Linked DNA regions of Coturnix japonica. The protein of the gene in region 4 interacts with the protein of the main gene of each other region in a pairwise test. Links are inferred from orthologs where the notes say so. Each region holds a gene or a part of one and is shown on either strand. Other genes may lie near its edges. The genes, in order: IGF1R, TRIM32, TLK1, PTPN11, RPIA and GAB2.

Region 1 (4,524 bases), on a different chromosome or scaffold from region 4:
TTGCACATAACCATGTGCTCACATTCTGTTCCTGTGAACTACTCACATCAGAAATTCTAGATCATTTCACCAATGGCAAAAGACAACCACTGGGCTCATTCTCTACAAAGTCAACTATGTTTTCAATGCTCAGTGTCATCTTTCAGACCCTACATCATAGGGGGCAATTTTAGCTGTTACGCTGATGGCCTACATGTTGAAGTTCATACGTGTATTAGCAAGCACACTGATTTTTTAAATAGACAGGTCTTATTTGTAATTATTTTCCAATAGAGGCAACAGGCAGGATGTAGAGCATGAAACAATTATCCTAACGTGTATGCTTCAACAAGCCAATCTTTTCAACATCTTGACAAGAATTAGGCTAGACAAGGGATCTAATTCAGATGTGGAAAACGGAATTGGTACCACAAGACAGGGCCTATTCCAGGCATCACACTGGGCTATTTGCAGTAACTAACTCATAAAAAAAAGGTGGTGCAGATCACAGGGCAGCGTGTTTTGTTCTTAGAGCTTAAGGACAAGGGCAAGAAAGGCTAATTGCCTGCTGCTTCTGACATGATGCCTTTTTGCTCAAGATGATTTTGAGTGAAGAAATAATAATAAAACAAGTCATGACTCACCTCTGTGTCTGGCCTCAATGATCTCAGATAACTTTTGAGGTCCCCACGTGTCATCAGCTCCATGATAACTAGGGTAGGCTGGCCCTGAGAAACAACACCTAGCAGGCGAACCTGGAAGAGGAAAAACAAACGCTCAGCTACAGATCCCACTAACTGAACTGCAGTAAGCATTTATTCATGTGATACATAGCCCCAGACACCCATGAAACAGTAGGAAATGTCTGGAAGCAGACTTGCTTTCTCTCTGACTCCTGCTGAACAGCAGTATTCTAATGCTTATGAGTTGAAGCTAAAACCCAAGCACCCCTTCAGCCAGTGAGGACATGCCCCGAACACCCTCCTGCTGTTAAAGCACCACGGCCTTATCAGTCCATCTCGTTACAGGTTCAAGACTTACCACATGGTGACAATTGAACTCCTTCATCACAGAGGCCTCGTTTAAGAACTCTATTCTCTCACGCATGCTTGCAGACTCATTGACCGTTTTGATGGCCACCCGGGTCTCCGGCTCATCCTTCACCACTCCCTTGGCTATTCCCTCATACACCATCCCAAAGGAGCCTTGCCCAAGCTCCCGGCACATCGTGATCTTCTCGCGGGGCACCTCCCATTCATCTGGAACGTACACTAAGCAGAGAGAGAACATGCCATCACATTCTGTTTTCCTAACTACTGGGATTGCTTTATGATATCAACTGTCTGAACAACTTTACTGTAAGCAAAGCTGGACATCATTTTACGACCCTGAATCATGCATGTAAAAATGATACTTAGCACACAAATACATCTTAAAAGGAACCTTAAAAGAATGCAAAGGGACTGGCAGAATGGGATAAAAAATAAGAAACCTACTGCTCACAACCAGGGTAATTCAGGAAACCCACCCAAGTTAATCTCAGCTGAATAAACTACAGGAAAAACTTCAGAAACTCCCCGCTTTCAATAGGCAGACAACATTCACATACAACTGCCTATTAATTAACTATGGGTGTGCAGATACAATGAAGAGAAAGAGGTTTTACCACATCCCTTTGTCAGTGTTTCATACCTTCCCAAACCAGACACAAACAGAGCACACAGAACTGAGAGCACAGAGGCTCAGCCCACACTTACCGTCCGAAGCACTGAAGTACTCAGGGTTCACAGACGCATACAGCACTCCGTTGCCCAGTCTGTCACTGTTCCTGTTGAAATACATTATTTTTTTTTCTTTTTTAATCTTTGAGCTCAAGTAATTGCAGACTGCCTATTCTACAGCTTTTCCACTGTTTGCTCAATCACGAAGTATTTACTGTAGGTGGAGAGCTTTTCAGAGAAAGAAGACAAATCACGTTCTTATTCTACTTCACATAATCAGTGGGAAAACAGCTCAGAACATTTTTCCCAAGAAACCTGCAGTCTTCTCTGCTGCTGATGTGGTACAGAGAAGTGTAAACACACGGTACTTTCAGCTGCTAGGCAAACTTCCTTTAAGAAAGGCAGCTGTGCACTGATACACCCAGGAGACGTATGGCTTTAACATCACCTGCTTTTTACTGTGAGGCAGAAGTGAGCTAGCAAAGAACAAGGTGTTTTTTTTCATTCGGGTTTCTGTTCCACTACTTTATAAATTGCTTCTATTATTTTACTTTCCTGGTGTGATTTTCAGAATAAGACGTTTATTGAGAGTTGTAGGAGTTCTTGCAGGGGGCAAAGCTGTACAAATAAAATTAATAATCAGACCTCAGAAAACCAAAGAAAACATTTTTGTGTGCTAGAACAACAGCTTAAAGAAGGATGGGGTATCAGTTGCTCCACTCTGAAAAGGACATGGGAAGGCCAGCAGGTACCTCACTTCACTAGAGGCAAAGCCGTTTCTGTAGTGCTTGGGAACTGGGATGACAGCGTGCACACAAAGGGATGAGAGCTGGGACACTCAATGGGCATAATTTAAAAGTATGTGTAACAAAAGCCTGCATGCTTAAAAAGTTGCAAGACTGAACATTTGCACTGACTTCTGCTAAGTTCTCATTATGTATTTCAATTACATTAAAAAAAAATCCCTAGTTATTAAAGTACAATACTAAGGAAATCAAATCAATTGAGTGTTCTGTCCAGCATATAAATATTTGTATGTGTATGGAAGGAACTGAAAAATAAAACAACTTCAGAATCTGCAAGAAACCAAATTAATCTCATGTGAGTGAAGTTTACAGAGCAACCTGCATTTCAAAGCACCTGATTATAAAGGTTCAGCATCTGCCATCACTGTCCCAGTTCCTGACAACCCTTCTTCTGCCCTTTCAAACACGATCCTGTAATAAAAAGCCCCTTTGAATCCCAAGCAGCAGGCAGATAATGGCTGGTAACTCTACACCACCTCCTTCTACACACCAACAAGGCAGAATCCACTTTAGCTTCTCAAGTACTCTGAAAGCTATTTCACTTCTTATTTTCTAACTTGCTCCACAGACACAGATTTGAAAATAAGCATTCCCTTCCTACAGTTTGGCTTTAACCACAAGTGTAACTCACCTCTTCTTGTTAAAGACATACAGCATTATCAGCAAACCCCCAATGATGAGCAGGAAAGCAATGGGGAGCACAATTATCAAATGGAGGAAGTTGTCATAGTTTGCTGCTGCAACCAACAAGAAAACAATTGTATTAAGGTTTCTATAAAATCTCCATTAACAAAGAAACATTCAAAACCCACTCAGTATATTTCCATACATGGGAGAAATCAAAGTACTCATTTTCTTGTCTGATGTGGAAAAATGTACTCAGAAACACGCCCTGACTGCAGATGAGTGGAATAAGAGAACAGAGAGTGAAAAGCCTCAGCTTTGTACAGAACAGCGTCTGTCAGGAGTTTGGTTTCACATGTTATGCTTGAAGACTTACATTCCTTAGTGAACAATACTGAGCTGTTCACTTGTATATCAACCTTTATTTTCCACCACCTTTTGTTCACCTTGCCATTGCTCGTACTTCAGAAGATATTCACGTTGGTTCATCAGATTCCGACAATTAGAAAAACAAGAATGAATAAAAGATGGAGGCTGACTTTCTGTGGACACAGCTGATTTTCAGCTAAACACAGATGTTCCCGAGATGGTCTCTGTGTACCCTGTACAGAGCTATTCCAAAACCTGAATCGCTGCCATTCTCAGGGGCAGTATCCCTCTTTCATCAGTCTTTATCACAACATTCCTAACATCAATTCTAAAGTACAAAAAATCATACTGAGTTAAATAAAATCTGCCAGGCCATATTCTTAGCAAATCACTGGTTCTTACATCACTTTGTAACTCAAAGTAGGTGATTATCACAGGTTCTGCACCATTCAGCTCCAGTATTTAACTCCTAACATTACACTGGGCTATAAGGTGGACATCAAAGGGAGTGGCAGCAGTGTGCATCAACAGGCAGGAGTATTCACAGTAATGTAAACCTTAGGACTATTCAAAAAGGCAAGTCCCCAGTTTGACACAGCCAAGCAATACTGGTCTTACATTTGGGTTGTACATAGAAAGAGACTGGCTCAGTCCAAGATCCATTTCCAGCCAATGATGTGGCCTGAACTCTAGCAGAATAATTTCCAGGGTTCAGATGAGTCAGCTTCGCCCCTCCAAGCTTCTTGTATTCCTGTCTTGAAACACATTCTCGTTTCTCCTGGAAGAAAAAAGCAATTTGCAGTTCATGTTAAGATCTTCATACTCTTGGCTCTTTAGAAGAGGATATGGCTGCAACATAAGCTGATCTGTATAACTAAATACCCCATCTGATTAGTTTTAATTCAAACAGCTGAAAGAGATGTGGAATCCAAACCCTGACAAAATAAGACAAAGGAATGAGACACTGCTTGCTGCTGAGTGTTTAAAATCACCATCTCCATCACTGGGCTGTAGCAGCACTCAGA
Region 2 (5,211 bases), on a different chromosome or scaffold from region 4:
CACTGTTGGATGCTTGCAGCTGCTTCGGGCATCCTTGGTTTGACTGGGGAGGAATTTGGTGTGCAGCTGGCTTCTTGTTGCATCAAGTCAGGCTCTCTAAATGATGCCGATGAGGATGCTGCAGTTTCCATGAGTGATTCTTCCAAGTTAACAGTCCGGGGTTTCTTCACCACCTGCCCAATCTGCAGTGGTCCCACATGGCTCACTTTAAGGAGTTCAACCTCGTGAAGTATCAGCTCCCCTGGGAGACTGTTTGTCAGTTCTGGTTCTTCCTCATCTGCTGCCTCCTCCAAGAGAGCAATATCTCCTTGCTTTATTTTGGCAAGGAAATAATCACAGCGAGACAATATCTGCACTTCTGCTAAGTTCAGCAGATAAGCTTGTTCCTCCATTACCTGATTATTTACCTTCTCCACTTCAGACAAAGAGGTGGTGAAGAACTTGCGTGACCTGGCCAGTTCTTCCTGGATCTTGCGTTCTTCTTTGCTGTAATCTTGCAGAACTGCTCTGTATCTAGATTGCAGGTCACTCGAAACACCCTCCAGAGATGCTTTTCTTTTCTGCAAATCATCCATGAGCTCCCGAAGTCTGGCAAGCCTTGTCCCAAATTCCCTTCTACGCTCTTCAGCAGCCTCTTTGATAGCAATGACATTATGCCCTTGGGGCACGTGTGATGTCTCCTTGCACGGCTCACATAACACCAAGCCACAACTCTTGCAGAAGTGTCTTGGCAATCTTCTCCCACAGACTTTGCACATGAGGAGACCAACCACTTCCCCCAGCCCTGTGGTGTCTATGATCTTCAGTACAGTAAGATTGTCAGTCAGCTGAGCTAAGGTTTTGATCCGAGTGATTTTGCTGCAAAAAGGGCAGCGTATCCCATTAATGCTGGTTGCTAGGAGCTTCTCCAAGCACTGTTTGCAGATGGTGTGCCCGCAGTGTAAGAGCTTGGGTCTCAGGTGCTCCTCAGTAAAGGACTCCATGCAAATGGGGCACTCCAGGACCTCTCGGAGCGCATCCGAGTTGAGTTGAGGAGCAGAAGCCATGGCTTTCCACAGGCAGCTTTACCCAGTGCAGAATCTGGTACTCGCATGTATTCTAAGGTGCTCCAATTCTGTCCAGAAAGAAAAAAAAAAAGAAAATGTGATTTATGTCATCACCAGCAGTTACATATACATGCAGTTTATTTCTGATTTATCTCCCAGACCTGGAAAACAGAAACCCAGTTGGCTTTTCCACATGTGAGAAGGGTAGATTTATCATCGCTGATCTCAGAGTGGGCAAATCCTAAAACTAACCTGCAGCTTCTAGTGCAATGAATTATTCGCTTGCAAAATTTATAAGGAGAACTGAAAGAAGTGTAATGGCAGCAATAAGGAAGCCCAATATATATTGATGACTGAATCATCTCCTCATGGTGCCCATCTCCTGCTGCCAAGCCTGTGAGTTTACATAATTTACTCTGAAATCCAGAGAGATTAAACCAAGCGTTCAAATGTTGCGCATCAAAAGAGGAACCAGATGGTGCAACGCTTTAGGACATTAATATATCACCTCTGGAGACCTGCATTCAGATAAGACATCAGACATGAGCAAAATAAATGTTCATGGTTTAAAACTGCTTTTCTAGAAAGCCAAAATAAATTTTCAAGGTTTCATGTGTTTGCCAGGAGGTAATCCTAGAAGGAATGATTTGTCGGTTTCCACTCCTTCTGTGATTGACTGTTTATAGTGGAAACATGCGCCGATGTCTTTAAGCCAGTGTACTTCATTAACCTCTGCCATGCTGCATCATGCAAATAAATACAGCTTGATGCAGCAGCATTCTATCAAGTATTAGCAGAAACAGAGCTACCAGACAACTCCAAATGCTTGATAATACAGACTGCACGTGTTCTCTCTTAGGTCCTGAACTTAGCTTAATTGCATATAATTTCTCTGTATTCTATACTCTTGTAGCACTGACTTCATTCCTGTGTTTTGGTTCAGTTTTGTTGTACCGCCGTGGTTGCCATTCAACTTCAGCCCAGGTTTCTTCATCCTCACATCCCGCGCAGCGGGGAGCAGATCCCAGCAGCTCCCTCGCTAAAGCAGCCATCCATTCAAAAGGAACAGAACAGGGTTCACATCATTAAGTTATTATTCAGCGGACCGAGTTTCAATACCTCTGCTATCGCATTGCTTAGCCGTTAAAAAAGAAACGGGGAGAAAACATTTCTTCTAGGGGGAGAGGAGGAGAAGGAAGTGGTTGGTCTTTAAAATGAAGAGCCGGGCACAGAGGGATGCGAGCAGAAAGCTTTCTTCCCAATAATGGCTGCATGCACGCAGCACTTTGGCTTCCCTGCTGCGATCGCCTGCTTTGCCCTCAGGAGCATTTCAGACAGAAAGGTTCAGTGTATTTCAGTTCAGCGTTTGCTCGAGTGGAAGGAGACAGCTGGAACGGAGAGAGGTTCTTTATATTCATACATAGAGAGAGGGGGGGGAGGAATTAAAAGGAGATCTGTATTTATCGGCTGTGAGGTCTTTTTAGCCCCACGTTGCAGGGATGGGCAATGTGGGATCTCCAATGGTGGGGTCCCAGGCTGGGTGCTGACCCCAAAGTGGGGACACAGCTTTCCTTTCCCTTTCTCTTTCCCTTTCTTTCCCTTTCCCTTCCTTTCCTTTTCCTTTCCTTTTCTTTCTTTTCCTTTTCCTTTCCTTTCTTTTACTTTTCCTTTACTTTCCCTTTCCCTCCCTTTCCTTTCCTTTCCTTTCCTTTCCTTTCCTTTCCTTTCCTTTCCTTTCCTTTCCCTTTTTCCTTCCCTTCCCTTCCTTTCCCTTCCTTTCCCTTTCCCTTCCTTTTCCCTCTCCTCTCCTCTCCTCTCCTCTCCTGCTGAGCAGCACCTCAGCTCTGATGGATGGACAACAACGAGGTTTACAGATAAAAGCTGCGGTCAGAAGGCGTATTTCCATTTAGATGGGCTTCCCTTTGCTTTTAACTCAGGTTCGGTCTGAAGGTCGCTTTGTGTGATGCTCTTTTAATAGGCACAACCGCATGCAAGCGCTCATCTCTGCCATGCCGTTATCCCCGCAGCGCTCTCCCTCCCTCGGTTATACCCCACATCGGGCCGTTGTTCCCACACATAAAACAGTGAACCAGAGGCCGAACCGAGGCCTGGCCCTGCTCACGGCCCCGCAGCGCTTTGGGAGCGCCGCCTCCCTCCCGCTCCATCCCGGTCCCGCTGGGTCGGCCCCGTTGCTGTGTGTAACCGCCCGCCCACCCGCCCCGCCTGCAGGGGGCGCCACTCACGGCGGGGCCCCGGCTCCGCTCCTTCCCTTTACCTGCTCGCCGCTCCCCGGGCCGCGCAGCCGCTGCCCGTCATACCCAGCGCCGCCGATGACGTGGTGCTGCGCGGCGCACGGAGCGCTGGGAGGTGGAGTCCTGAAGGGCCGCCTGCGCACACACAGCGGGTTAATGGGGGGGAGGGGCCATAAAGGCCTGTAGGGCCACCATGAGGGGCTGCAGGATGCCATAAGGGCCTATAGGGCCACCATGAGGGGCTGCAGGATGCCATAAGGGCCTATAGGGCCACCATGAGGGGTTACAGGATGCCTTAAAGGCCTATAGGGTCATCATGATGGGCAACAGGATGCCTTAAAGGCCTATAGGGCCACCATGAGTGGTTACAGGATGCCTTAAAGGCCTATAGGGCCACCATGAGGGGCTGCAGGATGCCATAAAGGCCTATAGGGCCACCATGAGGGGCTACAGGATGCCATAAAGGCCTATAGGGCCACCATGAGGGGCTACAGGATGGCCCCCATTAAAGGCCTATAGGGCCACCAAATGATGGGCTACAGGATGCCATAAAGGTCCTGTAAGGGCCCACCATGAGGGGGCTACAGGATGCGCATAAGGGCTGCTATAGGGCCAACCATGGAGCGGTGCAGACTGCCATAAAGGCCTTATAGGGCCACGCATGAGGGGCACAGGATGCCATAAGGCCTATAGGACCACGGCATGGAGGGGCTAGCAGGATGCGCATAAGGGCCTATAGGGCCACCATGAGGGGCGGCTGCGGATGCATAAGGGCCTACTAGGCACCATGAGGGTCTACGAGGTAATGCCATATAAGTTCCTATATGGGCCACATGATGGGGGCTACAGGATGCCATACGACGGTCCTATAGGGCGCACCATGAGGGGCTACAGATGCCATACAGGGCCTATCAGGTGCCACCCATGAGGCGGCCTGCAGGATGCCATAAAGGTCTATGGGGAGCACCATAGGGGGCTCAGGATGCCATAAAGGCCTATAGTGGGGGGGGGGGGGGCCACCAGAGGGGTCTACAGGATGGCCATAAAGGCCTATAGGGCGCACCATAGAGGGGCTACAGGATGCCCATAAAAGGCCATAGGCGCCACCATGAGGGGCTACAGGATGCCATAAAGGCCTATAGGGCCACCATGATGGGCTACAGGATGCCATAAGGTCCTATAGGGCCACCATGAGGGGCTGCAGGATGCCATAAGTTCCTATCGGGCCACCATGAGGGGCTACAGGATGCCATAAGGTCCTATAGGGCCACCATGAGGGGCTACAGGACGCCATAAAGGCCTATAGGGCCACCGTGATGGGCTACAGGATGCCATAAGGTCCTATAGGGCCACCATGATGGGCTACAGGCTGCCATAAAGGCCTATAGGGCCACCGTGATGGGCTACAGGATGCCATAAGGTCCTATAGGGCCGCCATGAGGGGCTATGGGATGCCATAAAGGCCTATAGGGTCATCATGATGGGCTACAGGATGCCATAAAGGCCTATAGGGCCACCATGAGGGGCTGCACCCTGCTGTCATGTCATGTAACCCTTCCCAAACACAAGGAAGGGTAGAACCAGCTTGGATGCAGCTCCTGCCACCATCTCCTTGCTCTATAGGTTTTAACTTGCTCACAGCATGTGTGTGTGCTCAGATCCATCCCTCTATGCTGTTCATGCCTGGAAATAGAGGAGGGTGGTTCTATCACACAGGACTGATGAGCAAAGTCATTAATCATATAATCAGTCATTTTCCTCCTGCCTCTTCCCTCCTCCTCCCCATCCCTCTGACCTTTCTATCTGGCCTCTCTTCTCCCATCTGATGTGTTCTGCTGGCAGTAATTAGAGGTGGGATTTAGCAGCCAGACTATCTGATAGGAATGTCTGGGCTTGGTGGGAGCACAGGTGGA
Region 3 (3,991 bases), on a different chromosome or scaffold from region 4:
GATCAGCATCCCTTGACAAGTCGCAGTAATTCAGGCTTCTGGATTCAGTCTCAAGGGTACTTCTATCCCAAGCACAAATTGCTGAGCATCAGCCATCAGACACCAACTTGGACGTGCTGTGAACACAGAATGAATCCACATGGGGATACAAAACTTCTACTGACAGTACTGTAAGATGCTTACCTCCGGTACACAGGGTTGCACTTGTGTTAAGGTCTTGCAATTTTGATCCGAAAGATGAGACAGCGATACTTCATTTGCTTCTGTATGAAAATGCATTAAAAAGAAGCGTTTAGATTTCAGAAGTAAACATCTGCCATGGTGGAGTAACTGTCATGTAGTCAGCCACTTGTACTCCCAGATTCTAACAACAAGGAAAACAAGCCCTCTCGGAATCACTATAATGCCTAACCCCCCTTTTCTTTAGGTAGCTCTACAATTTTTGGTTACTTTAACAGTTCTCTAACATATTGCTAAGCTTCAAAGTACTAGAGGTTATCACAACACATTCTGGATACACAAAAACAGTTAACGCAGTCTTACCTCTTTTCCTTAGGCAAAACAGTCTGTAACTTCCAAGACACAGAATAGGATATAATGAAATCTAACGTGAGTATGCAGCCATGGCATAATCCTTGAACCACAGACCTTGGTTTCACACTGGCATATGGTGAAAAGGATGCAGTCCTAGAACTCTGGCATAACAGAAAGGCAGAACATATCAGAGTCTATTTTTATGTCTAACAAATTATAGAGAAACCTACTGAAATAACTGGAACTGTATCTGTGAGGCCTACTCATTGAAATAATGCATAGGTTATTTCACTGTGACAGATGCTTCAAATTTTATGGAAGTCTCCCCTTTCAGCCCTAACGTTGCTTGAATGTATTACTCTATTACTTCTGTTCGCCATCGAAATGAACTTGTTTTGATAGGTGAATGTAGCTCAGTGATAAGGAAAGCAGATTTGTCCTTTGTTAAAATGCAAAAACACACAATGAAAACCTTGAAATTTCAACTGTCATTGTTTATTACTGTTTTGGCTACATTCTCTACAATTTCAGCAGCATCTTAAAGAGACAGTTAATGTTTCTTTATATACAATGAAAACAAAATGGCTTGCAACATCAGAAACAAGAGCAACAGTTTAACTGTACAATACTAAATGAAAACCTGTGGTAAGAACAGCCTCCTTTTTCTCTGAAACATGGACAAAATTACAGATAGTATTCAGCATCCAGAATGGAACAGTAGAAAGAATAGTGAACTGGAGAGAGATACGCTGTTTTGAAAAATAAGTTTCTACCATACAAGGCAGTTAGAAAATGTTTCACATTTTAAAATACCTGTACAAGCCACAAGAAACATTTCCTTGTAGATAGGAACTTCCAGAAATAGAGAATAGCCATGAGAAACTTCTACATCTAGTACTGGTGCACTCTACAGGTTGAGAGTGCAATAAATTGACTTACGGAACTGTACTGTATATGGCCAACACAGCTCGGTTTACATGCCTTGATTGTTAATGAGTTTCCTACTCAGTCTCTCTATAACGTACAGTTTACTCGCACCTTAAGGAGGTCATCTGATTCTTTTGCTGAAGTAAAAGCAACATTGTTTAGCAGCAATTAAAAGCGCCTTGAGGGAGACTTTAAAGAAAAAGTACAATATCCAATTAGAAAAAGCCATACTTTAAACATTTGTACAGGAATAAGTTGCTGAAATTTAACTGAAAATGTGACATCTGTACAACAATTTACAATAGAGCTAGAAGGGAATTTATCATTATTCCTGCATAGAATATTATACATGACCTGTTTGCATTTGGTTTCACACTGTTGTTTGCTTTTATCAGAGGCCTGGAAATTTTCACAAGTTTCAATACCACAGCAAGTACAGTATATTTAGAAAATTAAGCTTATTTCAAAATTAGCAACCTATTTGAGAAATAAGTACCAGGAATTCCCTATCAACCTAAATTCTGTGAAAGAACTCCCCATGTTTGGAGGTATAAGCCTGAGTGCCAAATAAAATACTATAATTTCATCGAGGAATCTGATGTAGAACACAGCTTTGACTGTCTTGCACTTCTTACTTTGGTTTCAGAAGATCAATGTCTTGGAAACACGGCAGTTCATTTAGTTTATTAACCAGACACGGAATTTTTCTTGTTCTCAAATTTGCTTACTACCTTTCTTAAAAATTTTAAATAATGAAAAACTACCCTTCATGTTAGAACTTTCCAGTATCAACCAAATGTATTTTAAGTATTAAAAAGATTATTTACAATGTTCCCCAGAAAAAACTAAAAACCTTTTCTTCAGTCTTAAACACAGTATACCTGCTAGTGTGCAACAGGCAGTGTCATCCTTCAGCGTTTTAAGGTTGTTCTCTGAAGTGTATATTTATTCACAGTCCATGACCCATTCCAATCATACAAACAACACTATGTAGGAGGACTTCAGCCTGAAAACACAGTTATCAAACTCGTCCTGTGTAAAAACACCCAAATGTTCTCAAGCTCAAGTCTGCATCAGGAAACTACACAAATGTATCATGCCATTCCTCAGTTGGAGAAATTTCAGTATGAAATAATGCTTGAAGTAGGTGGTGTAGGGGATGCTGCTAGCCCAGTCATGTGTAAGTTTCCTGAAGAATTTGATCTCCTCATATGAGGAAGAAGGTAAGGATCGTTAGCCAGTTGATGGACATCAAATCTATCCTCTTTTCGGTATGCTAAACAGCGTCTGATAAAGGCCTAGAAGAGGAATGCAAAAAGTCACAATACCATTCAAAATAATTCCATCTGCTTACAAGCAAATAAGCATGTCCTCCCAAGATAAACCAGCTTCTAAACAGACTCTTGTTCTCATATAATTCCATTCAAAGACAGCCTAACATTCTACTACAGACTCCAATGGAAAAGAGTATGTTACAGTAGAAAAAAAAAAAATCAGCAAGCCTAATTGGCTTAGAGTAATCACACTTCAAACACATACTTCAGACGAAAAGATGTGTGAACTATATTTACAAGCAAAACATTAGCATTTCACAGAGGGAGAATTCTGCTTGTGTTATTCCTTAGCAGCATAGTAAAAGCTAAAAGCAAATGTCAGAGGACTCAGGAAGTAGAGAGGAACTACAAGGAGCTTCTAAAACCATCCAGCAGTGCACTACATGAAGAGCAGAAGATGCAGAGACAGTTGCCACTTCCAACACGCACTAACCAACACATCATTTAAGAAATCACCACCTAGCTTGAACTTCTCTCTCAGAAAGGAGAGAATTACAACTGACTTAAAATATCTTAAAAAACAGGGGAAAAATCTCTATTTATCTCCAGGGCAGCTTTTGAGACACTGTATTGTCCTTCATCAAGGTCTACATGATATCTGTCAATTATTGCATGATGTGTATTTCTGTTGAGTCTCATGTCTAATATATACAGAACACTCAGTCCCCTGGGAACTTGGGCTTCAACATTTAATGATAGAAAATCCTTATTACTGCTACAGAACTCATTAGCACATCATTACTTAATCCAGAACTTAAAAGAATTACCTATCTTTTCTTGATAAATCTCTTCAATTGTTTGTCCTTTGCTCAAATTAAAAACGTGAGATTAGAGGAAAATTTAATCTGTGATGTAAGTCCTAAAGATTCCTGCTAAAATTTCCTTCTAGCGTATACATATCCAGCAGGAACTAGTCTCAAAATAAAAGCACGCACATCTTAACATAAATTCACACATTCTTGGACATCTGGGGATTTAATTGAATTATTCATAATGAATCCCTAAGAAATGAGCTGCTAAGCGTAGTTTGCAAGGTTCTCAGAGTAACAGTTTGTTTCTAAAATGTTTGCAGAATACTTTGCGCTTCTGTGGTAGTGCAAATACTGCCATAATGCACAGAATGCTTCACAAAACAGGAAGAAGTAGCAAGTACCAAAGGACAATTACAGTCTGGAAACTAACAGTGTCATTTCAGG
Region 4 (4,524 bases):
AAATCTGCACTAGGTGCTGTTAATAAGAAATATTTTTCTATGGTATTTGGTGCTTGGTCTGTTTGCTGTTGCTGGAAGCTGCATCTGTCTTCCCCACTATATTTCTCATCTAATTTTGTGTTAGCCTTCACGAGGCTAACAGGAGCTGTTGTTGCAGGAACCAAATTAAAGAAGTAATAGGTTAAGCCACCCTTCAGTGTGTAGAATACATCCCTGGCCAAAGATAACCTTGAGAGAGAAGCAGCATGCTGAAAGCTCTAAATGTCGAAGCCTACAGATGCATCAGGCCGTCTGTCAAAGGGAGCAGTTCTGTGTTGCTTTGGTGATTGAATTAGAGCTATGTTAGCCCGTTTTTTCCCTGATTCTAAGCAATGAAAAAGCGAATGTCCAAGCTGCATTCCTGTTAAAAATGATTTATATCTTTGACTTGCGTTTGTTTTGCAGCCTGTTAGGTATTGATTTTAGAGCAGCATATGGAGCTGCAGCATTCCCCTGAAAATTCTTCGTATTTTGAAACAAATAGTTGGGTGGAGGTATAGGTAACTGCATTTCAATCCCAGGGCTTTGCAACTATGAGGCAAAACTGGTACTAAAATCATGAAAGCTGCTGAAAGGAGAGATTGCATGTACCACTTTTCCTGAAATAATTCCTTATTTGAGATATAGAAAAGAAACTTTCCCTTCACACATACTTTAATGTGTCATTTGATGTTGTCCAGTTGGTGCTGGTGTTGTCTTAGATGTTCTCAGAAATGAAAACTTCAGGAAAGTGCTCAGCGGTTCACAAAGCAGCCTTCTTGTGGATTACTCTTTAAAGTCTTGTTTGTTTGCTTTGAATCTTGCAGAGTAAGTGTGTCAAGTACTGGCCTGATGAATATTCCTTAAAGGAGTATGGTGTTATGCGTGTGAGGAACGTTAAGGAGAGCGCAGCACATGACTACACGCTAAGAGAACTTAAGCTTTCTAAAGTTGGGCAAGTAAGTATGTTAGTAGCTCTGTCCTTTTAATCTAGGTTGCAAGTAAAAAAAAATGCAGATTCTTCTTTCTGCAGAATCAATAAAAGCACTAAAAGATGAATAAATTGAGCCTTGACTCTTTCTTTGAAGTTCCAGCTTTAGCTCCATGCATCTTTCCCTTTGTCCTTGGGCTAATTGAAGATTCTTATACCTGAGCACTTTTTTGTTTTGGCAGAAGATGCATGACTGCAGAGCTTTGAGGAAGTCTGGAAAGAAGCATGAAAGTGCTTTTAAGTAATCATACTTTAGTCTAGCTAAGCATTTATCTGCCCTTTCGTGGAGGTGGTTGTACTAGAAGGAACTGTTGTATGGGAGTCCAGAATCTAGAAAGAGCTCTTAAGTGAAGACATGTAAAATGAGGAAGGAAGCAGTGAATTTGTGTGGGAACAGCACTTTGTTGTTAAGAAACAGAGCTTTTCCTTACCTTCTAAAGGTGAGACAGAAATATTGGAAATCGCTAAATGAGACAAAGAGGGAACAGTGGGAGCAGGTAGTGTGATTGACTTGTCAGGCCAAGAAAAACTCTTTCCTTCTTTAACTGAGCTGTAGTGCCACAGATATTGAGTAGAAGGGTTGGGTACACTGCCTTCTGATCTGACTCAACTTTGCTGAAGTAATGCTCTTAGTTGAATTTTGATCAGAAGGATTTTTTTTCACATGTTGATGTCTTCCTTCTAGGGGAACACAGAGAGAACAGTCTGGCAATATCATTTCAGAACTTGGCCTGATCATGGAGTCCCAAGTGATCCTGGTGGTGTACTGGACTTTCTCGAGGAGGTGCACCATAAGCAAGAAAGCATTTCTGATGCAGGACCAGTTGTGGTCCACTGCAGGTACAGTGATGCAGAATGCTTCTGCTTCTCTGGAGGTCTGTTGGCTTCTTTTTTTTACATCTATTGATGTATTGCTTGGGATCATGGGAATACTAGTCTACCATCCCACCTCCTGTAAGATATCACTCCTCATTTTTAATGTCTGAATTTTTGTTTTCAATAAGGCAAGGAAACATTTGATCTTTTAGTTCTGTCTGATCCAAGGTTGTTAATAAACACTAAGATACAGAAAATGCTGTTGTGACTTCTGCCTACTTCTGTCTCTCTGAAAATATAGGCCTCTGTTTTCTTTTGTCTGTGTAGTTTGGTTTGGCTTTACCTGGAAACTGGAAATCTAATGCTGCTTAGTGTTGTACTCTTAACTTAGGTTAGTGTTCTAGTGCCTTCTCACAGCAAAATTATCATTGTTCTTTTCCACAGTGCTGGGATTGGACGAACAGGAACTTTCATTGTGATTGATATTCTTATTGACATAATCAGAGAAAAAGGTAGGTGTCCTCAGCCTTTTGTTTTCTGCTGGGACATTGACATAGGTCACAGAAGCATTACAGTAGAAACAATAGAAATGTTGACAGAGGATTCTAGTATTGTTTTAGAGTGAGTACTTGTTTAGCATAAAAGGGACTCTGTCATTCTTCTTAGTTGGAATCAAAGTGCTGAAATCCTGCTCTAGGTCAGGATGATGAAAACTTTCAGCTGAGGATTAGCCAGGAATCTGTGTTATTTTTCTTAATATTTGTATTTAATTATTTGTTTAAATCTTTCATGAGTATGTGGCTGTCAGTCTGTTCATTGTATATAGAGGAGACCAATCTCTCCAAAAGCAAAGTTTACTTTGCTTCTAACCTCATGGTTATTTTTACTTCACAGGTGTGGACTGTGATATTGATGTTCCCAAGACCATTCAGATGGTGAGATCACAGCGGTCAGGAATGGTTCAAACAGAAGCACAGTACAGATTTATTTACATGGCAGTGCAGCACTACATTGAAACGCTACAGCGCAGGATTGAAGAGGAACAGGTATATTCATCTGAAGTGTAAATTATGTAGGAATATGTTATCACTGGAGCAGGGAGCAGAGTTGCTCATTTGCTGCTTGTGACTTGGAGACTTGACTGCCAATATGGCAATGAAATTTGAGTGTTAGGTTATGTGGAATGAAGTATATTGATCTGAAGGATTGTAAAGCATGTGATGAAAAAGCTTGGGATGTGAGGACAGTTGCAAGACACCCCTCCACACTTCTTTCTGTTCAGGTACCATCTAATTCTACCATCTTGTACAGAAGATGCATGGTTTTGTGATAAAGAACTAACTTTCTGTCCACTATTGCTTTCATTCTCTATTTTTCTGGTCATCTGGGACTTATCTTTTTCAGAATTTCAGTATCTTCTGCTGCCTTGTTGCTCAGGAGATAAACTCACGCAGATCATCAGGCAGATGTGGAAAGCCGTATGTTCATTGTTAGTTCAGTGCCAGTTGTGAGATTTAAGCCCTATTTTAGAGGTAGGGTGTGCCAGCTCAGTCTTGGCACTCTCGTGTGGCTTCTGGCTTCTTTGGAGTGTGACAGAACTTGTTTTATATTTGCCAGCATCATGTAGATGCACCGTTCAACAGAGGATGGAGTCTTTATTCTTTTCCCCAGGATGCCTGTTGTGTGCTTTGATGCTGATTAGACTCAAAGAGAAGAACATGAAATCCCTCAGGTGTACTTTTTTTCTGGCTTGCTTGTTTCACTTCACTTTAGAGCTTCCTCACATCTGTGTGTGATTGCACAAGCCTTGTATCCTCAGCTTTTGAATATAGTCTCTTTCTGCTGCCACCATTTATAAAGTAGATCTGTAACTTCTTGATTGCTGTAATGTGGTTTTGAATTATACTTTGGTATTGAGAGGAACAGTGCATTTCTCTTACAGTGATCAGTTGTTTCATCCTTTACTGTGTTACTAGCTCAAGAGGCGTGAGAATAAAAGTTTCTTGAAGTTGCAATAGAGCATTGCTTTACATCATGAATTCTTGAACCTAAAGGCTGGTGGCAGATGCAGGAATAAAGCACAATAATACTTTTCAGATAAAAGCAACACTTTGAGTATAGGAAGTAACATCCTGGAGGAAAAAATAAAGATATGATATAATGTAGCACTTACAGCTGTGCTGAAGCAATGGGTATGGACACATAGCTGCATCCATTCACATAGACATGAGTTCTTTGTATTCAGAGAAAAAATTCCCTGGATTCTCTGCTAGCATTCCCTTCTGCATTGCAGTGCTGAGAGCCTCAGGAGTTCCTAGACTTAAATGTTGTGTTGGATATTGCCTGTCATCCTATGAGTGTGGGAAAAGGGAATCTGGATTTGTTTTGCTATGTTTTTCCTGCAGAGATGTGTGTAGTCTTTCACATCTAAGAGACAAGTTGTTTCTGTTGCATTTCTATTATTATGAATTAGGATCATTACAGTGAATCGAGCTGAAAGAAGAGAAGCCAGAAAGATACTTAATCTTGGTTTTTCTATTTAAGTAATAGAAGAACTGATTGATTGCTTTTAATTGCTTTCACAGTACAGAATATCTGCACCTCAAGCTGCTATTCATTATGCAATTTAAAAAGATCACAAATAATCTTTTCTGATTTGGTGCTTCAGAATATTATTGACAGGAGAGGGGTTTGTACTC
Region 5 (5,152 bases), on a different chromosome or scaffold from region 4:
CAGAACCAGTTCAGACATAAATCTTTCTCCAGCACTGCAGATGTTTTAATTCTAACCCTGTAGTACACTGAAATGCACAGGTAGCCCACAGCCTGAGACCTGCTCGAAGATCCCCCAGCAGAGAAAGCTGTCACAGAAGTACTGGGCTGTGCCACAAGCATCTTAAGCACCCGGAGAAGCTGAAGAATTAGACCTGCTGCGTTCAGGCTTAGATTTAACGAGCCCCTGCTAAGCACAGAGCTGAATGAGATCATATTTGGTCCGAGGCCAGAAAGAAATAGTGCTGTAATGGTTTCATTGGCTTTTTGAGAAGGGGCTGTCTGACTTCAGAGAGTCAACAGCAACACTCCTCCTGCTAATCTCATTTTCAGAAGCGTGCTGTGTGAGAAGAAGCTTCCTCACAAAGTTTTGCTTGATTGCTCTCTGTTTATGTAGGATTGCATTAGGAGCCCAACACTATCAGAAAACAGCCCGTGGCAATCCAGACGGAGTCGTGATTTTGTGAACAGCTTCAGCAGCATCAGATTTGCAAGAAGAGAAACTTCAGCACTTCCAGCAAGTTGTTGGTTGGATGGTAGCCAGGTTGGTCAGTACGAAGAGCTTCCGAATTAACAGGATGGATGGGCAGGAAAGGCAAAATGTAAAGAAAGGCAAAAAATGGCTTACACACGCAGGTTTCAGACATGCAGATTTAAGACAGGTGCATAACAAGTGCTGCAACTGACAAGTGATGGTTAAGAGAATCTGGTTAATTTAAAGTAACGTAGTGTATTTACCTTAAGGAAAAAGAAATCAAATGCAAAAGGGTCTGGATGAAGCGCCCACATGAAGGGAAAATGCAGACAGAACCTTTTAATGGAGCCAGAGCACAAGTTACTCTCAGCAAGTATTTTGTGTCGTTCCCAAAACAGTTACCTTAAGAATGAAATTACCACCACACCTGTTGTAACAGCTCTTTATTTCAATGTCTATAACACAAAAAGAGGGCTTGCATTTTGACACTGGAATCATGCAAAGCACCTATACACAGAGAACGGTATACTGAACGAGTGTCTATCTCCTGCTACATATGGTCAATTTAGGCAGGAAGACTCGGTTTTCCTTTGCATTCCACTCTATCCTTCTACTAATCAACCAGCTGTGAGAGGTGACAATTAACCTTCATTGCAAACCAAACAATTTGTCACTGAACACTGCCCTAAAATGCTCAGATGTGCTTCTTGTAAACTTCATCAAGTGCCCAGTTCTGCTCTCATTATACAAGGATGAAATCCTGAACATCTCCAGCTACTGGAACAGACTTTAATCAGAGGTACAGTGCAGTTGTAGGACAGAATTTGGCTCAAAAGATGAACATCTCTTCCACAGAGGCCCCCAGAAGGCCCCTGTTCACGTCCCAGACACAGGGATGCAGAAAGCACAATGTCCCTAGGCTCAGAGATTTGTCATGTGCACTGAGGATTAACTAGACGTCCCGAACTATTAAAAAACAGTGGTATAGAAAAATAAAAGGCATAAAATACTGAACCAAAAAGGTTCCAAATAAGGCATCGGTAGGTCCCAACTGGATGCGTGCTCCCATTATGCACATCATCATCCTCCCAGCCAGGTCGGCTAAGGATGATTTATTAGGATCATAGTATCAATCATGGAGCACTACGAGTGACCAGGAGGGTTCAAGTTCAGTTCAAAAAAAAAAAAAAAAAAGGAAAAATGAAACAAAACGAACAAAAAGAACCAATAAAAGAATCCAAAAAAGTATTCTTTTATTTATTTTTTTGGTCAACATTCCTTAGAAAATAAAATAAAAACATTAAAGCAATTCATTTTTAACTGATTCGTTAAAAAAAGGACAACATTCTTGTAAAGTAAAAATATATCTCTATATATCTGGAAATAGAACTTTTTTTTTTGCTGTTTTGTTTTGTTTTTTTTTAAAAAAAAGACATTCGGTATCATATCAGCGGGTTCTGATCAACTCCCCACCCACCTGCTGTGATAACCGCTGCTCATTAAGGCATAACGTCAGGTTGGCACCGTTACGACAGCTGAATCAAACTGGCTGAAGGCAAAGCAGAGCAGGCAGAACTGCCACCATCAGCGAGGCTGCTTCTCCCGCACACTGACCGAGCCGTCCTCCATGCCAAAATACACCACCTCCGCCATGTCGATGAACAGCCCCGTCTCCACCACACCTGGGAACAAGAGTTCATGAGCCAATTAGCCAGTTAAGCCATCCAGAGGGACCTGGAGAGGCTGGAGAAGTGGGCCCGTGTAAACCTAATGAGGTTCAATACGGCCAATACTGCAACCATGAAGGCTAAGAGCTTCGAAACCAAGCAGATGGAAGACATGAGCCAGACACATGGGTTTGTATGAAACCTCCAGGGCTGCAGAAAAGCCCATGAGAAGTTAATCACATTAAGAGGAGTTAAAGGCAAGATGGATTTGAAGCCAGAGACCAAAGAAGAGGGAGAAAAAAAAAGAAGAGCATCAAAGTTTTGCTCATGCAGTTGGTCTTTCCTTACACAGAGGAAAAAAACAGCCTGGGGATGTCATTACCTCTATTTTGAGGCACATGAAATCCTCATACAACTCTAATGCTGGCAGTTCACAGTGATGCACAGCTCTGCAGCCCTCAGTCCTTTCAGGTGGCTGCTTGCTGACACACATGGCACTCAGCTTGCCAAGGCCCTCAGGGGCAGAGGCCACCAACACTCAGAGCCAGCACCAAGTCTGCTGGGCAAGCCCTCATTTCACCAACAACTCCTGCTGCAATCCAGGAACTGTATGTAAGCACTCATATTGGTTGCTTGCACAGCCAAGCTCCAAATCCAATCCCTACCAGATGAACACACTCCAAAAAGGCTGAAAAAAATAGTGTGCAAAGTGCACAGAGTCCTCCTACCACCAGTATATCCAGGCTTTAACAATCCTGCTCTTCCACTTCTGGGTAGGGAAGATGCTCTTTTCCCCTTAGCTGGCTCTTTTCTGAGCTCATGGTTAAACTATGGTATTCTGAAACCATCTCCAACCTGTCTATTTCCCTTTCATCCCTCTTGGCTGAGGGATGCAAGGAGCCCATGAAAAAGACACTGTGTTTTGTTTCTGCAGAACCAGCCGCTGTTTCTCTTGTGCATAGAAAGAACTCTAATAAAGCACATATTTGTATTGCCATGGACTACAGCTGCATTAGGGTACAGAGAAGTGCACCAAGGACAGCCCAGACTAGCAGCACCCACCAGTCTATTTATATCAGACACTGGTTTGTTTAGATCAGCTCTTGCCAAAGATCTTAACCTGCCATCTACTGTCAGCTGTGAGCAAGTGCCAGGTAATTATTCAGACTGCAAAGACATCAGGACAAGCCAAGGGAGAGGAAGCACACCAGCAGTTTGCTCCTAGATCCAGGGAAAAGGAAATGGGTGTGTTTTCAGCAAATCAGCCTTCTAATAAGCACTGAGGGAAGCAAAGCTAACAAACAGAAGCAGCTTGAAGTAACCAGGGACACTTCACTTCACCGAAACCTGTGGCGTCTGCCTAATGTATTCTAATCATGGTGCTACTTCGTGCAGGCACGGAAGTTTGTGCTACAGGATCCCAACCTGTTCCTATGTGCTCTGGTAAGACACAAAGAGCAGTGAAACCAATGGTAGCTCTGCTGTGCACAGACAGCTATCTGGAATTAACTCAAAATACATAAGATGCACTCAAAAGGTAACTGGATTCAAGAGTAGACTTTCACCAAAATATCCAGCCAAGATATCTTGATGGGGCTGAGCAAGCTTTTGTATGTTGCTTTTGTATGTTGCTTTGATGAAGTGTCATCACCCTTGGGCAGACCTTAACGATCCAGAAACAGCTCTGGTCTGGATAGCAGGTCTCATGCTTCTAGCCAAGCTCCCAGGGTCAGGGATTTGTAGTACAGACCAAGTCTTAGCCAGTTTTTGGCTTTTAACATCACAGACATTACCTGGTATCATTTTTATGGCAGTGTTCACTTCGCTCCACTCGTGAACCTTGTCAAACTTCCAGTCCAGGATGAAGTTCCCATTGTCTGTCACCACCGGGCCCTGGGAAGCAAATCTATATGTCAGCACCACAAGCTCCTGTTGTACCAAGCACAGCCTTACAACGGGAGCCATCCCTGCTGCAACAGTGTAGGGAAGGTCATTGTTTGAGTAAATAAGGGCACAGTCCACTTCCCCATACAAACATTAACCCTGTAAGTCAAACCACTGCCCAAGGCAGCTGCGCCTTCCTCGTTCTTCTGCCTAGAGTTCACAGATAATCACAGAAAAGCTGGAAAAAAATGATATGATTTCATCACTGGGATAGAGGATCCTTTTCACAAGAGCAGAGCTAGAGGAATGTATTCAACAGACAACTATATGCAACTGAAGCCAAAACAAGACTCTTGCACCCCTGTAATAAGGGTGGGCTGCTACTGCATGCCATAGGGAGGTTTTGGAGCTGAAGGACTGACGGCCTTTGGTGTCTCAGATGTACCCAGCACCCTCTCAAGCCCCAAAGTTTTGTCCTTTCAACAAGAATGAGACAGCTCAGGCTGAGAATAAGGCATTTCAGCAACCCTGAGCAGGGGTTGTAACCCACACATGGCAGGAAAGACCAGGGATAAGACCACTGAATGAGACAGAATCCTCCAAGGACACATCTCATGCTGGAGCATTGGGATCTACATTTCCCAAGCAAGGCTGGTCTTGAGTTCATGGGAGACAACTGGCTTTCTCTTCTCAGGCTCCTATATATACCTCCTCAGCCTCTTGGGCCAGGGGATTAAACATATTAAAAGTGTTCAGCCTTCAGGTGTTAGCTCCAGCTGCAACTGGAAATAGTCCTCTCCTCCTTTACCATATGATATGCATTGGTCAGTCCACACTGTTCAAGCCAGGATAGGACAGTGGAGACAAAGCAGGTTCAGTTTTTAGTCCACTCTTGCTCTGTGTGGCATGCAGCAGATTGTTTGTGGCCAAGAAGAGACACAGAGCAGCCCTCAGACTGGAACATCCACCCCTCTTTTCACTGTTCAGGGCTGCTTGATCTGGGAGACATAAGGCTTACACAAGCAACCCCAACACCTAAACACACACAGTTCATTAAGTACAATTAAAGGAACCAGATTCAATCAGAT
Region 6 (4,524 bases), on a different chromosome or scaffold from region 4:
CTGAGTGAGGTCTTGGTTGCTACCAGCAGCACAGTCAGACCCTCAGATCTCCCCCTTCCCCATTCCATTCCTCTTTCAAGAGGACTATGGTGCAATGAAGCTCAAAATACCCATCTTGCACCATTCCTGGCCTTTAAGGGAGATGTACATGTCAAGCACAACCCTTTTGCTGGCAGCTCTTTCTGCATTCCATCCCAAAACCTTTGGGTGGTGGTACAGTTACCGTCCCTGGAGGTGTACAAGACCATTTAGATGTGTCATTTAGGGACATGGCTAGTGAGCAATATTGGTGGTAGGCAGACAGTTGGACTAGACAATCTTAGAGGTCTTTTCTAACCTTCATGGTTCGATGACTGTATTCAGATCACTCGGATTTCTCCTGCTGTTTCCTACTGACTGGTTCCCAGCAGCTTTTCCCTCAGGGTTTTTCTTACACCCATATCACCACCTTGACTCCTGCTCAACCAATTCAGGGAATTTTGGTCACAGCTCAGGAGGGCTCCCACCATTAGGATGTCAGCACCTAACTTAATCAGCACACTAGATGAGGGCTGGGTTTGCAGCAGAGAATTCTTCTCTTCCACATAATAAACTACCCATGATGAGAAAAGCTTTCAGGTTACTCTGTAGATTTCCTTTTTGAATCAATCTGAGCAAGTGCTCTAGCCAGAAGTTGATCAGTGCTGGTGTTTTCTAGCTCTGCTGAGGCATCAGGACTCCCTTATTGGAGCCATCCATCCAGCTCTGGGCTGTGAGTCAGAGGGAGAAACTGACCTTTTCTCCCTGTCTCAGCATAAATGACAGAAGAGATCTTTGATTTATCATCAGCAAGGAGGGCTAATGTGCAAAATGGGAAGCAACAAGTTAAATTTAGGAGACTATCCCCTCTCATGTTGGTTATGATCTGAATAAACACTTTTATCCCAGCAAAGCCATCACCGCTGGACCTGAGGAACAACACTGTCATCGATGAGCTTCCCTTCAAATCTCCAGTGACAAAATCCTGGTCCAGACCAAGGTGAGTAATGGTTGGGTATGATGCATACTCAAATTTCCCCAAAAGATGGGTGATCTCTTCCATCTTGATTTTTCCTTTGTAGATTTTAGAAACAGTAGCTGCAGAACTGGGTCACAGATTGAAAATATACAAGCAGCTGTACTGAGCTGAAAGTCCACTTTGCACAACATCTTCATCCATCAGGGATCAGTTGGAGCTATCTGGGAAGAGGATTAGAATTGGGAATGTATTGAGTAATTATTTCCTAATATCTCCTGCCACACCAGCTGTTTTGGGGCTGAGGAATTTCTTTGGTCACATCATGGCCAAACTTTGGATCTGGGTCAGATGATATTGAAGAAGAGGACCATCTCTCTTGGATTCCTTGTGAGCTCTGTCCAAGTGCTGGGAGAGCCAGAGCCACATCCCCCACATCACAGCCAGTGACTGGAAGATAAATGGGTTTAGATTAGGATTTCACATGAAAGCCCAGTATGTGGCTGAGCAGTTAATTAAGATCCCTTGGAAGCATTTCCTATTTGGGGATCTGACATTGCCACAGAGCTGTGGCTCTGATACAAGACCTGGAGTCCTTCATGACTTGTGGTGTGGCTGAGTGACCCCCAGCTCAACTGCAGTCAGGGCATAGTACCAATTTCATATCCAGCTCATCCCCAGAAGTGCTGCTTTAGTCTAAAAATGCAGGGTGAGACGCACAGGGTTTGACTCAGTTGTGTTTTGATTGCCTTGAAAGCAAAGCCTAGCCTGGAGGAAGTCTGCAAAATGAAACCAAAGCACTTCATAGCAAAGTCTGCCAGCCAAAAATAACAGGATTCATGCAGCTCCAGTTCTGCTGCTAATTCGCAGTCTGATCTTGTCCAATGAAAGGAAGAAGCCAGGTTTGGCTGTTATGACTCTTGTAATAAATTGGATTGTGTGGAGACTGACTGCAGGGCATGAGCGCTGTGTGCTGAAATCACTGCACCAGGAAACAGCACACAGACTTTGACTGACATGATGCCTGACCCCGTGGAAGCTAATGGATTTTTCCCTTAACAGTTAATCACATGAACCTGCCTTTACAGCAAAGAAACAAATAGCTCTTTAAGACACAGGCTTCAATGCCAGATGCTGATTGCATTATGTTATTCTCCATAATTGGATCTGGCCAATTGAAAACAAGGCGACGCCTTGCAGATTTTTTTCAATCAGAAAATTCAGATAGGGCCCTGTATGGTTCCAAAGCCTGGAGCTGAAAAGGGCCTGGAGATGAGAAGCCTGCTGGGGACCTCCATGGAGGCTGTCTCTGCATCCTCCCCAATGAAATGCTTCCTGTGAGATGAAAGAGTTTATGGATCCTGATTTATGCAGCTGATTCAGAGTTATGGATATGCTCAGAGACGTACTGGATGCCCCATCCTTGGAGACATCCAAGGTCAGGCTGGATGGGATTTGAGCATCTGATGGAGCTGTAGTTGTCCCTGTTTGTTACAGGGGAGTTGGACCAGATGGCCTTTAATGTTCCTTTCCAACTCAAACGATACTGTGATTCTATAATTCTGTGGTACAGTAAGCAAGGTGTTATTTTAAAAGTACTAGGAAGGGAAAAAACAATAAGATGAAACCCACTGTTTAGTTAACCCATGGGATGGACAGATTGGAAGACTCCCAATACCATCAGCTCTTCTCCATCACCCACCATGAGCACTGGAAGAGATCAGGTGCAGCTCTCTTCCATCTCTCCCCAGCCATGTACCCACAGCCATCATTAACATCTTGAACCTTGTCCTTTCAGCCACACCTTCAACGCCGGCTCTTTGCAATACTGTCGACCTGTCTCCTCCCAGAGCATCACCAGCACTGACTCAGGAGACAGTGAAGAGAACTACGTGGCGATGGTAAGGGCCCCCTGGTAGGATACATGGTCCTGGTAGGACGTGTACGTTCCCCAGTGCTGCAGACGCATTCCTGGCTCATGACATGGAAGCACCACAATGATTCCAATAGCGTCATGATGGATGTCGTGTGCATCATTGTGTAATCCCCACATGCACAAAACAGTGGCTTTTGTTCCTGGTATAATACATCCTACTGGGGTTTTAACTCCATATGAGAGCTTGAACACACATTACTTATTTCACAAGGAATTAAGAGGGAATAAAAACATCCAGGGCGTATTTTCCTAATTAAGTTCTTTTTTTTTTTTTTTTTCAGGGCTTTTTTCCCCCACTGACATAATGTTTGTGCGGAGGGCAGGGGCTATCAGAGCACAGCAGGGAGTGGCACTGCTTACAGGGAGGGGCTTTGTCTCTCTTAGCAAAGCTGCTGACTTGAAGCATATTTTTAAGGCTGCGTAACTGAGGGGGCTGAGGAGATGGGTGCACTGCATAGCACAGTTGTGTTGAGCAGAGATCCCGGCACTGTGTTCACTGAGGATTCACTATTTCTTCCCATTTTAATGCTCGTTATCTCTCCTGTCTCTTCCCTGCATTAGCAAAACCCCATTTCTGCTTCTCCTGTTCCTAGTGGCACCAACAGCCCAGCGCCTAAAAAGAGTTCGGGTAGTGTGGATTATCTTGCCCTGGACTTCCAGCCAAGCTCACCAGGGCCACACAGAAAGGTACTGGGGATTTGATAAACTTCTGATTAAAAGCAATGATAAGATTTTTCCGTGTGTCTGTAAGAATTCTTGAGATCTTACAAGAAAATGAGCAAGATGCGACTCGTGCTCCAGAGCTGGTGAGAAGGCAGAGACCTGGGTGCTGGTTTAACCCTCCCATCACACTGTGGTCTCATGCAAGAAAGCTGCAGAAGAGACCAAAATCTTTCACCCGATACCGTTCAGGAGGTCAGAGGGAGGGTGATGAACTGTAAGGGAGGATGGGAGTCGATGGCTGCTGATGGATAACCAGCTGGTGGCTGTCTTTCTCCTCCCCACAGCCCTCCACCTCATCAGCTGCCTCAGATGAGAAGGTTGACTATGTGCAAGTGGACAAGGAGAAGACACAGGCGCTGCAGAGCACCATGCAGGAGTGGACTGATGTGCGGCAGTCCTCAGAAGCCACCAAGAGCACCAAGCAATAGCGGCAGGGCAGACACCTAACAGGCAAATGTCCCAGGGGTTCTCCCAGCTTGGGGCCCTACCAGACTTCCAGCTCCATTTGGACTGGATTTCTCTAAAACTGCTGTCTGTGTGGAGGGGAAGGGTTCTTTATTATCATTTTCTTTTAAGACAAAAGGAACTTAATTGCAGAGGAAGACTTGGCAGATACTGTTTGCCAGTGATAAAGGTCAACTGTATTTGTTGGCTGGGTTTGTGCTTTAGCTGCTGAATGCACCATCCAGGAACTTTGATGTAGCAATACCAGGTTCCACCTTACACATTTGTTGCTTACAGTTATTAAAGCCACCTTGTATATGCTAATACCATCCTTCCCTGCCTTCTTCCATACCATGCCCATAAACTGTGCCACTTAGGTTTGGCAGCATCTCTTCTAGGACATCATTTCCCACCACCAATTCTCTTC

The links.
Region 1: the proteins of PTPN11 (region 4) and IGF1R interact in binary tests that used the Homo sapiens proteins (3 or more experiments, as listed by UniProt). The link is inferred for Coturnix japonica from reciprocal best matches to the Homo sapiens genes PTPN11 and IGF1R.
Region 2: the proteins of PTPN11 (region 4) and TRIM32 interact in binary tests that used the Homo sapiens proteins (3 or more experiments, as listed by UniProt). The link is inferred for Coturnix japonica from reciprocal best matches to the Homo sapiens genes PTPN11 and TRIM32.
Region 3: the proteins of PTPN11 (region 4) and TLK1 interact in binary tests that used the Homo sapiens proteins (3 or more experiments, as listed by UniProt). The link is inferred for Coturnix japonica from reciprocal best matches to the Homo sapiens genes PTPN11 and TLK1.
Region 5: the proteins of PTPN11 (region 4) and RPIA interact in binary tests that used the Homo sapiens proteins (3 or more experiments, as listed by UniProt). The two-hybrid records come from large-scale screens. The link is inferred for Coturnix japonica from reciprocal best matches to the Homo sapiens genes PTPN11 and RPIA.
Region 6: the proteins of PTPN11 (region 4) and GAB2 interact in binary tests that used the Homo sapiens proteins (3 or more experiments, as listed by UniProt). The link is inferred for Coturnix japonica from reciprocal best matches to the Homo sapiens genes PTPN11 and GAB2.

Annotation. Positions count from the first base shown.
Region 1 is NC_029525.1:15,115,016-15,119,539, forward strand, and holds part of IGF1R (insulin-like growth factor 1 receptor), read right to left. Parts: intron 4,278-4,524; coding exon 4,118-4,277; intron 3,244-4,117; coding exon of another isoform or gene 3,241-3,243; coding exon 3,138-3,240; intron 1,808-3,137; coding exon 1,737-1,807; intron 1,251-1,736; coding exon 1,021-1,250; intron 735-1,020; coding exon 624-734; intron 1-623. UniProt on the Homo sapiens protein: Receptor tyrosine kinase which mediates actions of insulin-like growth factor 1 (IGF1). Binds IGF1 with high affinity and IGF2 and insulin (INS) with a lower affinity. The activated IGF1R is involved in cell growth and survival control.
Region 2 is NC_029532.1:2,233,954-2,239,164, reverse strand, and holds the start of TRIM32 (E3 ubiquitin-protein ligase TRIM32), read right to left. Parts: upstream 3,422-5,211; 5' UTR 3,322-3,421; intron 2,086-3,321; exon of another isoform or gene 1,967-2,085; intron 1,115-1,966; 5' UTR 1,047-1,114; coding exon 1-1,046. UniProt on the Homo sapiens protein: E3 ubiquitin ligase that plays a role in various biological processes including neural stem cell differentiation, innate immunity, inflammatory resonse and autophagy.
Region 3 is NC_029522.1:16,222,377-16,226,367, reverse strand, and holds the end of TLK1 (serine/threonine-protein kinase tousled-like 1), read right to left. Parts: intron 2,760-3,991; coding exon 2,583-2,759; 3' UTR 1,008-2,582; downstream 1-1,007. UniProt on the Homo sapiens protein: Rapidly and transiently inhibited by phosphorylation following the generation of DNA double-stranded breaks during S-phase. This is cell cycle checkpoint and ATM-pathway dependent and appears to regulate processes involved in chromatin assembly.
Region 4 is NC_029530.1:5,554,534-5,559,057, forward strand, and holds part of PTPN11 (tyrosine-protein phosphatase non-receptor type 11), read left to right. Parts: intron 1-845; coding exon 846-977; intron 978-1,694; coding exon 1,695-1,849; intron 1,850-2,269; coding exon 2,270-2,337; intron 2,338-2,719; coding exon 2,720-2,871; intron 2,872-4,524. UniProt on the Homo sapiens protein: Acts downstream of various receptor and cytoplasmic protein tyrosine kinases to participate in the signal transduction from the cell surface to the nucleus. Positively regulates MAPK signal transduction pathway. Dephosphorylates GAB1, ARHGAP35 and EGFR.
Region 5 is NC_029519.1:78,027,979-78,033,130, reverse strand, and holds the end of RPIA (ribose-5-phosphate isomerase), read right to left. Parts: intron 4,074-5,152; coding exon 3,974-4,073; intron 2,196-3,973; coding exon 2,098-2,195; 3' UTR 940-2,097; downstream 1-939. UniProt on the Homo sapiens protein: Catalyzes the reversible conversion of ribose-5-phosphate to ribulose 5-phosphate and participates in the first step of the non-oxidative branch of the pentose phosphate pathway.
Region 6 is NC_029516.1:172,537,911-172,542,434, forward strand, and holds part of GAB2 (GRB2-associated-binding protein 2), read left to right. Parts: intron 1-927; coding exon 928-1,018; intron 1,019-2,792; coding exon 2,793-2,895; intron 2,896-3,211; coding exon of another isoform or gene 3,212-3,235; exon of another isoform or gene 3,236-3,485; intron 3,486-3,491; coding exon 3,492-3,617; intron 3,618-3,937; coding exon 3,938-4,081; 3' UTR 4,082-4,524. UniProt on the Homo sapiens protein: Adapter protein which acts downstream of several membrane receptors including cytokine, antigen, hormone, cell matrix and growth factor receptors to regulate multiple signaling pathways.